Alligator mississippiensis: one gene and its partners. The protein of the gene in region 3 interacts with the protein of the main gene of each other region in a pairwise test. Links are inferred from orthologs where the notes say so. Each region holds a gene or a part of one and is shown on either strand. Other genes may lie near its edges.

Region 1 (3,748 bases), on a different chromosome or scaffold from region 3:
AGAAGGAATTGCTTTTTATGAAATTAGAAGCAGAGTAAATAGATTCCAGTTGCAGCAGTCTGGATCCATCTGTAAGGGTATTAAAACTTGCAGTATAAATGTTTTAGGGTGGGGATGAAGAGAGTAAAAGTACAACTCACATTCTGACACTTTAAGACTGCTGGATTGATGACAGGGAAGGGCTTCAAGTTATGCTGCTTTTGTTCTCCGTCTTCCTCGAATGGAAATGTTTGTAAGTGAAGAGTATAGGAGAAAAGGCAGGCATTGATCTTTCATGGGTATGTCTACATGTTCATTAATGCACCATTACAGTGTATTTAGTTAGTACCTGTTGTTATTAACTTAATGAACTATAATTGGTGTTACTGCGCATTAGTGCAGATGAATGCTTGCTGGTGACACTTAATGTCCATTGGACCAATTCCACTGTGCGCTAGCACAGTTGAATTATTTTTTTGCCAGCCACACTAACGTGCAGTAGAATTAGTCTAATGGGCATTAGGTGTCTTGTGTAGATGTACCACATGGATCACAAGCCGGTGCAGGAGTAAGAAAATCATTTGTTTGAACTGAAGGGGGAGACGGAAAGGTTGATCACCACTGGCTATAAAGGCAGGTAGACGGGGAGGAGTTATTGCCCCTTGCATGTGCACTACATGCTTTTCAGAGGTGCAGGACCCCTTGGAACATGCCTGCTGTTCTGTTTTGCACTATTTTTTTTTTCTTTTAGGTTAAAAAAAAAGAAAAAGCCTAGTTTTTCTTTTGCAAAGAACTGGGGTGATTTCTAGAAATCTCTTACGTTTCCCTTGAGCTTTGCACTGCTCTGGCCTGTATCCTCCTTGCAGGGAAAACACTGCACCAGGGCCCAGAGCAGACAGCCTGGGTCTAAGCCCCGCCCCCTCCCCTTTCTCTTGCCTATTCGGATCTGAGCTGGGGGTGTTGTCCCTCACCCCATGCGACGCATGCGCAGTGAGACTCCTGCCGATTAGCGCTTGCATGCTGCCGGGCGCCTGTCCTGGCGTGACTGGATGGCACAGCACATGCGCAGTTTCATGCCATGACGCGCACGGCGTCCCGGCGCCTGCGCGGTTGGCAGGGGCGGGGCTTCCCAGCTGTGCCTGCGCTGTGGAGGGAGGCGGGGTTGCTGGAGCCGAGCGGGTTCCGGCTTGTTGTTGTCCCGAGCCCAGAGGCTTCCCAGCTGCTGCTGCCGACGCCGCGCCGCCATGTCCTGTCCCCAGCAGCCGCCGCAGCACCAGCACCACCACAACAACAACCCGCCGGCCGAGGGCACCCCCGCCGAGCCGGGCCTCAACAGTGAGTGCGGCCCGTGTTAGCATATGTAAATATAATTTAAATGAGGAGGGGGCTGCGGGCCAGGCGACCCCCCCACCCTCCCTTCGGGGTTGGGATTGGTAGAGATCGCTGCCGCGCGAGTGCTGCGGACCAATCCGCGGGGACCCTAACGGCTGCTCCCCCTGAGGGGGCCTTAAACAGCGGGGGGCAGCTCAGGAGCTACAGGGGGGAGGGCCCGGGGCAGTGGCGGGGCCGTCTGGGGCACCAAAAGTGGGCGCAGGGAGGTGCGGGGCAACGGTAATGGGTGGGGGGAGAGGATGGGCAGGGTCCTGCAGCTGGCGGCGCCTGGGGGAGTCAGTCCTGTTCCCTGACCCAGGCTCTGAGTCCCCATATCCCTGACTGAGCTGGTTTCCCCTAGGTCCAGGGTATGTGTCAGCGGCTTTGCTGCATCCTTTTGTTCCCAGGATAACGTTGGCGTGGCACGTTCCTGGGGGCTGTAGCACCTCCGGCTTGTCCCTGGGGTGTGTGCTCATGTTCTCGTGAGAGCCGTCCAAGGGCTCTCATGAATAAGACACGTTCCTTGCTAGCTGTTGCTTCTGTCAGGCTTTTGCAGTGAAATTAAGGGCATGGATGAGATCAGAGCAACCTCTGTCTCTTGGTATGGTTTCCACTGGGTTGAGGTGACATCAGGTGTTGCTATAATTAACCAGTTTCACTGACAACAGGCTTCTCTGTCCTGTTGGAATTACCTTGCTGCACAAAAAAGAAAGAAAACCCACGCGGAGGGACCCTGTAGGCAACTTGTGCCTTGTGCCACCATGGAAGTCGATAGCACTTCATGCAGGGTTGACTCGGGGGGGATCTCGTCGCAGTATTGGCCCGCAAAGTCTTAGTGAAATCAGCGTGCTTGTTCAAGGTGGCAAACAAAATATGCAGTAGAAACTGTTTGCAAAGCAGGTGCGGCCGATCATCCTGGGGAAGGTTCAGTCACACTTAGCAGGAGTTCAGCCTTTCTGTTAGCCTATGAACGTGTCGCTGAGTTTTGTCAGGATAAAAAATTTATGCTCTTATTTATTTTTGTCGGAATACATGGTTTGCCTTTCTTCAGTGCTTTCCATTCAGAGCGCTTTACGCAGAGTGAAGGTCATGCTACAGAAGTAAAAGACCTGGGAAGGGGACTCGGAAATCCTATCTTCCAGTCTAGTGTCTGTCCACAGGAATGGGCTCCCTCTGATTTTCTTAGCGGTCTTGCTTTTCTTGTGAATCTTACTTCATTTTGTTCTGTGTTGGGGGCAAATAATAATTGCAAATGCTTTCCAGTTAGTTTTTTCTTTTTCTTTTTTTTTTTTTTGGCAATGCACACTGCATTCCTGAGGAATAAAATATTAAGTTAGGGTTCTCTGTAAAATTGTACCTTTTTCACATGAGAAATGGGTTAGAATATGTTGTTATAGTTAAGTACATATGAAAATTAACAACCATTGCTGACTAGCCAGGGACAGTAGGTACTTCACAATTACTGCTATATCATTCTGGCCATTGTGCTGTAGAAGGGGAACAAAAAACCCCAATGGTGCCAGAGAAATCTGCAAGACAGAAAGCATTACTGTGGGAAATGAAAAAGCTTTTGTGATAATGATGTATTTCATTACAGGTGTGGGGTTCCTTAACTTGTTTGCTTCTGAGCATGACTCAAAATGCATTGTTTATTACGCACCACTAGTTTGGAGCAAAGAAGCCTCCTTGGTTTTTTAACTGAAATCAGACACTGACCAAACAAACTGCCAAAGGAGGACTTGAGCATTTAGCTAGCACTGTTTGAAAAGTATACAGGTTATGGAAGAATCCATAGATAATGTGAGTTTGTGAAGAAATCCATTAAATTCCTTACCTTGTAGAAGCTTCTGTGCCTGCATAATGGCAATGAGCCAGAAGATATAGTTGTTGCTGTTTCAGATTTCAGTTTAGGAAAACTTGCCTTTCAGTTGATTTAAAAATACTGTATGAAATAGAAGTTAAACCCCAATCCTGCGGTCAGCTTTCTATAGGCAGATCTCCGTTCCCACCTGGAATCCCTCTGACTTCAGCAGGGCTCTGGGCTGAGTCACTTGGAGAAACTGGGACTCATCATTAATAAAGCCGATTTAGTTTGGTAATAAACCAGTGTCCAGGTAGCTGGAAGCAGTGTTTTCAAAAAAGCCTGCATTTAAAAAGTAGTCTGGATTGTGGTCTAATTTGACAGAAGCAAGGTGCTCATGGGAGAGTAGCAAATTATGATGCTTATGTCTGCTTCAGCTCCTAATGCACCTTTGTATGTTTATCAGAAATCAAGGGGATGATCTCCACATGTGTAAGAGCTGTGTTTAAAAGGGACGCTGTTATTAAAGTTTCAAGCACTTTGGTTTAGAGAACATTGTGAAGATTCTGTACCAGCGTGGATTTGATTTAAATTGCT
Region 2 (3,748 bases), on a different chromosome or scaffold from region 3:
TGGCAGCAGGGATTGCTGACCGCCCGCAGATGCCACCAGCGGTGTCAGCAGTGAGGTGGAGAGTGGTGACTGCCTGCAGAGGGTGCACTACCATGCTCAGGGGGTGCACGTGTACACGTTGCCTCTGCTGAACCCTCTGTAAGTACCCCAACCACATGTCAGTCCATCCTCCTAAATCCCACAAAAAATAGGGCAGGCCCCCAAAACCTCTAAAATGATTGGTGTGACCCTCCCAAACACCGCACAGCAGGCTGATGATGGAGTGTCAAGTACAGACACCAGCTCTCCTGGGGATCCAGCCTTTCCTGGACCACAAGGAGGAGCCTCTTTTCTGCCTGCCGGCCTGATCTCATTCACTGCCCATGGCCTGGGTGCTGAAATATCCCTATTAAAGACCCTGCCCCTTCAGCTTTGTCAGATTCATTTGGAAAGGCAAAGAGACTTGCAGTCCATCTTTCCTTGGGCAGGCCTGGTATTGGACAAATTGGCTGTCCTCCACCCTGCAACTGGGGGGAGGGGGTGGCAATGATAGCTGGCTGCCCCAAGAAAAGAACCAGGAAGGGGAAGGGGGAGGGAAATAAAAGGCGGTTGGTGAAAGGGGCGCACTGACTCCCTGCTACCTGGTTCCCAGCCCAGCCCACCTTCCCTGGGCCCCAGGCAGGTATTTCACAGAAGGGTCTACCTACCCTACCTTGCCATTCCACGGAGTGGAAGAGAAAGGCTCATGCCTTTTGGTTCAGTGGGCCTGGTTCTTGAAGTGGAGGCTGAAGCTGAAGTTCAGTGGCCCATGTTTTGAGCAGATGCTGTCTGCTTGCTTAACCCTTTTGCCACATTAAAAAAATAACCTCCCAAAAATGTCATAAAGGAAAGATGTTAAAAATAGGTCATGGGGGGGGGGTGTTAAAGTGTCTGCAGGCCCCAATTATACCCAACTGTGCCTTGGGCCCTGCCACTCCCTAGACCAATCTCATTACAGACACCAGTTTTAAAAGGTAAAGCTCAGCTGTTGAAAAAGAGCCCCTGCCACCTTGGTTATACTAAAGGAAGGGCCAACTTGGAACAGAACCAAAATGTCCAGGGGCCACCGGGGCTGTTTCTCCTCCTGCCAGGTGACAAGTCAAGCCCTGGATCCATCACCCTTGCCTTGCAGGGCTCCCCACACTTGCCAGGGGACTAGGCTACAGAGGGCTGCTTGGCCTGTCTGCACCGCAGGAGGAAGGGAAACAGAGGCCAGCAACTGGGACCCTCCAGGACAACCCATGCATCTCAGACCTTGCCTCCGACACCTACTCACTGGAGAGTCACAGGAGCCTGCTCAGCTGCACCCACTGCCCCTCTCCTTCCAGCCCCATTGCCTGCCAGCCCCCCGTGCTAGTAACTGGGGGGGGGGGTGTCCAACAGCACCAGTGCCTGGAGTCACATTCACCCACTCTGGGCTTGATGGGGAAGAGCAGGCAGTAGCCCCTGGGTGCCAGGGAGGCAGGGACCTGGAGAAGGAGAAGGGGGAGAGCCCTGCCACCCCCACCCCACCCCGCACCTGCGCTTGTACTCATCGCGCTCCCGCTTGACCTTGGCCAGCACGTTGTAGAGGGCGCGGATCTCGGGCGTGATGGTGTCGATCTGCACGCCTACGCCGTCGGGGTGCACCCAGGACACGCCGGGCCCCTGCAGCAGCGTGGGCTCGGCGCCGGGCCCGAGCCGGCGCGCCTGCGAGAAGGACCAGATGGTGCCGGGCAGGAGGCGCGCGGCGGGCGGCGGCGGCAGCGGGGCGCCGGGGTGGCAGCCGGGCGAGCCCAGGGCGCGGAAGGGCAGGGGCCGGGCGCTGCCGGGGCCCGAGCCCAGCCCCAGCGCGAGGGGACGGGCGGGCGGCGCGGGGCCGGGGCCGGTCTGCACGGCTTGGTCCCGGCGCGGGGCGGCGGCGGCGGCGGGGCGGCCCAGCGCCTGCTGCAGCTGCTTCTCCAGCTGCCGGTTGCGGCGCTCCAGCTCGTGCACCTTGGCCAGGAAGCAGCGGAAGCGCAGGTTCAGCGTCTTCAGCACGTGGATGTTGGAGCCCAGGTCGTTGCGCAGCGCCATGGCCGCGGGCGGCGGCGGCAGCGGCGGCTGCTCCGCGCCCAGCACGTCCGGCCCGGCCGCCGCCTCGCCCGCCAGCGCCAGCGGCTGCAGCAGCGGCTCCGCCTCGGCCAGGCCCTGCTGCTCCTGCTGCAGCAGGAAGAGGTTGGGGCCGAAGAGCGGGTTCATGGCTGCGGCGGCCCGGCAGGTGCCCCGGGGCGGGCGCCGCTGCAGAGGGAGGTGCGGCGCCAGCCGGGCTGCGGCGGGGCAGGGCGGAGCCGCCGGCTCCCTCCCTCCGCACGCCCCGCCCCGCGTCAGGCAGAAGGCGGGGAGGATATGCACCTTACAGACCAACTCAGTAAGATGATGGATGGATGGAGCAAGCAAGCACAAGCTTTTGTGGGTTGAAACTCACTTCATCAGATGCTGTGAAAGGAGGTCCAGAAAGCAGAGTATGGAACAAATTGGAATAAAAGAGGCAAGGATTTCTTAGGGTGACATTTTTTTATTGGTCCAGTAAAAGATCCCACCCTCAGAAATCCTTGCCTCTGGCAACATTTCTGGACCATCTACAACATCACTTTTACACTGCCAAATTAGAATACAAAAGACAAGGGGTGTAGGAGGGAGAGAGAGATGGGGGCACAGGGGAAGGGAGCAGTGCTAAGAGAGAGAAATAAACAAAGGCTAAATGGGTAGGAACAAAGCCAAGCCAATCCAGGCAATGAGATAAGAATGGGCCAGCACCACACAGAACCCTGTAGCAGAGGCAGGGGAGGGTCCAATCAGCCTCTCACCTTGGGCAAGTCCTGCAGCAAGGGCCTCCTTATCCTCACCTGGGTCACCAGAGCTTATCATTATCAAACTCTGTCCTTTGGAGCCTGGGGCACCCACGCACCCTGCGTACCACCCAAATCCATCGCCAGGCAGGCCACCTGCCTCTGAGCCGAAGGGGGAGAGCAAGGTGCAGGGGGACAGGGCTGGACAGCAGGCCACCCTGGGGCTGCAGGGTCTGCTTCCATTCCCCATGACCCATGTTACACTTGTCACCCTATAAGCACTTTTTTAGTGAGACAAAAAGCAAATGTTTATACATTTGTGCTGTTTGCCCTTCTAAAAATGAAGGGCAATATGTTGCACAAATATCAGGTAAAGTGACAAAAACTTTGCTCTTTCAGAAAGCGATTTCTTCGCCGTGAGGAGCTTTCCCATGACAAGTGTAAGGTCTGGGCAGTCTCTCTGAGTCTGACCCCCTGTGTCCCACAGTGCTCCATGCTCCCTCTCCCCCTTCAAGGCAACTACCTGATCAGCCTTTGGCCCTGCCAGGCAGCAATGATGACAAGGCTGCAGCAGCAGCAGGGCCTGACTGAGCACCAGCAACCCACCGAAGCACTGTGAACTTCAAACTGTAACAGTGCAGGTGTTTTATCCATTCCCACTGGTCCTGGCAAGGGTTGATCAGGTAACAAAGATGACCTAATCAGCTCCTGCCTTGTAGGCAGCTTGTGGGTAGCCCCATCACCTGTTTCCACTCCAGGAACAGCTGACAGGGAGGGAAAGAAAGCCTGTCATTGAGCCTGTCCTTCTCACTGGCAGGCCCCCCTGGTGGCAGGGGGAACAAAGGAGCAGCCCCCTATTGGAGAATGTGCCTTTGTGATGCCAAGGGGCTTGTGTGCATGCTCATAGCATTCTTCTACTT
Region 3 (3,748 bases):
CAATTCCTGAGTCCTGTAACTTAGAAGTACGTTATTTTCCAAAGACACAAATTCAGCTACTAATTCCCAAAACTATAAATGTATATGTGTATGTATGCACACACATATAAATATACTTGTGTATTAGACACACCCACGTGTGTGTGCTCACAGGTACTTTTAACAGAAATATGCACACATATGTATATACTCTCTCCGTGTGTGTGTGGGGGGGTAAGTGCTCACACATACACATACATATGCAAATATAAGCATATATATATATATATATATATATATATATATATATATACACACACACACACACACACACACACACACACACACACACACACATACATATATATTGTGTGTATATATACATACATACATATAATGTGAGTATGTATATATACACATACTGTGTGTATATATACATATATATACACATACTGTGTGTATATATACATATATATACACATACACATACATATGTGTGTGTGCATGTATATATAGATCTGTGTACACATATACACAAACACACATATACACATATAGATATATTTACACACGTGTGTACATAGACATTTTTGTACATGTGCGTATATATAGGTCTGTGTGCATGTATATACAAACACACATACACATTTACATACATATACACGTGTATATACACACACCTCTATGTATATTTGTGCATGTATATATAGATCTGTGTGTATGTATACACACACACATACATATGTATATATACACACACACTTACATATATATGTAAAATATATTTACATATATATCATACACACATAAATATAAATAAGCACATATCTTATATGTGCAAATTACATACACAAATATATGTACTCAGATATACACATATGCACTGCATATACATGTTTATGTTGTATGTATGCACGTACATGTCTAGATATATACCTGTGTTTGTATATATGGATTTTAGTTTCTATGGCAGTTTTCATTATAGACTGCATATGTATGTATAAGTAATATATATCTATATAGACATATAGATCTACATCTATAGCTATATCTATTTATACATACCTCTCTATAGATATATCTATATAGATATATACATAGAAAGACGGCGTGTGCGTAGATGTCTATGCTTATTAAACATGCACACACCAACTCACATATACATACCTAGAGTACTCCTATGTCACTAGAGTACTCCTATGTGCATCTAGAGTACAAATGTGCATCTAGTAAATACAAAGTGCATTGTCTACGCCTATAGAGACATTGCTCTGTGTATGCCACCGCACACACATCCACTGTTGGTTATAGGAAGGAAATCACTCCAAACTGCTGGCATTTGACAACCGATCACGCAAGCACGTAAAGGTTAAACCCAAATTCAAAACACGGTTGGAAAACCATGGTCTGAACCACTGGGTTAAGTCCCCAACAGCGGCTTCAGGGGGGCTGGCGGTACTTTGTGGGGGTGTAAGGATTGCTTGCTGAACACTGAGAATCCCAGCCTACCCTGGACTCCTTTCCTTTTCTGTCTGAGCCCGGCATGTGCCCTGCGGTCTGCTGCCACCGCGGCTGCCCCAACTGGGTACTACCGAGCAGGCTCCAAACGCAGCCCCCCCAGCCAGGCTGCAGAAGTGCCCAGGCAAAGTTGCAGGGAAAGCGATGGCAACACCTTACCTTGTTGAGTCACCGTATGAGACATTTCCTTGTGCAGCTGCTGAGTTCATTCCCCAGCTGAGCTCTTCTGCTGTCAAACCCAGGAGAGAGAGAGAGAGAGAGAGAGAGAGAGAGAGAAAGACCTTGTTGGCAAAGCGCTGAGAGCAAAGAGAAAGGGGGGGAAAATACAGTGATGAGGGGCAGCAAATTCCTTCTTCTATCACCAACCTCCCTTCTGCCCCCACACCCCCCTCACGCCCAGCCAGAGATGCAGACACAGTCTCTGCCAGGGCTGCAGTGGAGTGCGCTGGATGGGGGATCTCCCATCTTCCCGCATTGTCTCTCTCCAGCAAGAGCCAGGCAATCTCATTTCATGGGAGAGACATCTGGTTCGATTCAAAGGGAAGAAAGGGGGAGGGAGGGAGGGAAGAAACCCTTGCAGGCTGGGAGCTGAAAAGCTATTTTCAATGCTTTCCCCCCATCGCCCTTCATTTCAATAAGAAAAGGGAGAGGGGCCCAGCAGTGGCCTCTCTCCCCAGCATCTCTAGATCTGGAAGGAGGAGAGAGGGAGGTGTTATTGCCATGGAGGGTGTCCCCCCTACCTCCCCTCCCCTCCCCTCCCCTCCCTTCCCTTCCCCCAGGCCGGAGAGCTGCCAAGTCCCCCTTCTGCACAGCCTCCTGCATGGGGGCAGGCCCAGGAGGCAGGGATGGATGTGGGATCTCAGGCCTGATCCTTTTGGGGCCTTGTCTGTACGTGCAGCCCAGCCCCCCTGCCCCCTCCTGCTGCTGCGGACCCCAGAGCGGGGTGTGCAAACAAGTGGGGGTTTCCATCTCCTCCCCCCTTCCCTCCTCCTCCCCTTCCTACTCTGTCCCTCCACGGAGTCACTCTGGATTTACACCCCCACAAAACAGGGCAAGCAGCAGGCCCCTTCCCCGCTCCTCCCCCCATTTATCCCTCCCAGGCACTGGATTGACCAGCGCAGCCCCCTCAGCAAGGATTAGGGGCCTATTTTGTCGGGACTGGGATGCCGGGAGCTTAAGTGATTTGCCCAAGGTCACCGGGACGGCCGGTGTCTGTAACTAGGTCTCTAGGGTCCCAATCTGGTGCCTTATCCCACCGGGCCTCCATCTGTCTGTGCACCCCACGCCTGAAGTCGCCCTTCTCCGTCCATCCACCATCCCCCTCTCTTGCTGTCTGCCCTACATCTGCAGCAGAGAGCTCCTCTCTCTATCCACCCATCCAGGCTACATCCATCCATCCAACCTCCTTCTTCATTCATGCTTTCTTCTTCCTTCCTTTCCTTCTGTCTCCTTCCTTCCTGCCTCTTCTTCCCCTCCTTCCTTTTTTTTTTTCATTCATTCTTTCTTCTCTTCTTTTTCTTCCTTCCTCTTTTCTTCCTTTCTTAGTTCTTCCTTCTTTTTTCATTCATTCTTTCTTCTCTTCTTTTTCTTCCTTCCTCTTTTCTTCCTTTCTTAGTTCTTCCTTCTTCTTTTTTCATTCATTCTTTCTCCTTCCTCCCTTTCCTTCCTTCTTGCTGTCTTCTTTCATTCATCCTTTGCCCTTCCTCTTCTTTCCCTCTTTTCTCCTTCCTTTCTTTCTGTCTTCTTTTTCTTCTTTCTGTTTTTCATTCATTCATCCTTTCCCCTTCCTTCCTTCCTCCCCCTTTCTTTCTTTCTTTCTTCTTTTTCCTTCCTCCCCTGCTCTTCCTTCCCCTCCCTCCCCGCTCCTCGAGCGCCAGCCAAGGGGGTGTGTGCGCCGGGCCGGGAAACTACATCCCCCAGCAGCCTCCGGTCCCCTCCGGAGTGTCAGCTTCATGCTGCAGCCAGGGAATTTAAAACAAAAGAGTTTCCCCCTCTCTTTCTCGCTGCCTCCCCTCCGGCTCTCCCCAGCCTCCCTGCCCCTGCCCCTGCCTCCCGCGCCCGCCGCCGGCTCTTTTGTGCGCTGCGGGGCGGGGGGGCGGCCGGGATCCACCTCGGCGCGGAGCTCAGGTTACAGGGAGAGGCAGGGAGAAAGGGGCTTGGCCAGGCGGAGGGGAGGTGGGCGGAGGGTCGCCGCTTCTCTCTCTCCCTCTGTCTCTTTCTTTCCCTCTGTCTTTTTTTTTTCCCTCTCCCT

The links.
Region 1: the proteins of LMNA (region 3) and BNIP3L interact in a two-hybrid assay, tested with the Homo sapiens proteins (2 studies listed by BioGRID and IntAct). The link is inferred for Alligator mississippiensis from reciprocal best matches to the Homo sapiens genes LMNA and BNIP3L.
Region 2: the proteins of LMNA (region 3) and IFFO1 interact in binary tests that used the Homo sapiens proteins (3 or more experiments, as listed by UniProt). The link is inferred for Alligator mississippiensis from reciprocal best matches to the Homo sapiens genes LMNA and IFFO1.

The regions. Positions count from the first base shown.
Region 1 is NC_081830.1:23,570,413-23,574,160, forward strand, and holds the start of BNIP3L (BCL2/adenovirus E1B 19 kDa protein-interacting protein 3-like), read left to right. Parts: upstream 1-1,126; 5' UTR 1,127-1,223; coding exon 1,224-1,314; intron 1,315-3,748.
Region 2 is NC_081824.1:243,421,885-243,425,632, forward strand, and holds the start of IFFO1 (non-homologous end joining factor IFFO1), read right to left. Parts: upstream 2,300-3,748; 5' UTR 2,239-2,299; coding exon 1,538-2,238; intron 1-1,537. UniProt on the Homo sapiens protein: Nuclear matrix protein involved in the immobilization of broken DNA ends and the suppression of chromosome translocation during DNA double-strand breaks (DSBs).
Region 3 is NC_081838.1:17,279,369-17,283,116, reverse strand, and holds the start of LMNA (lamin), read right to left. Parts: upstream 2,993-3,748; 5' UTR 2,900-2,992; intron 2,172-2,899; exon of another isoform or gene 1,727-2,171; 5' UTR 1,657-1,726; intron 1-1,656.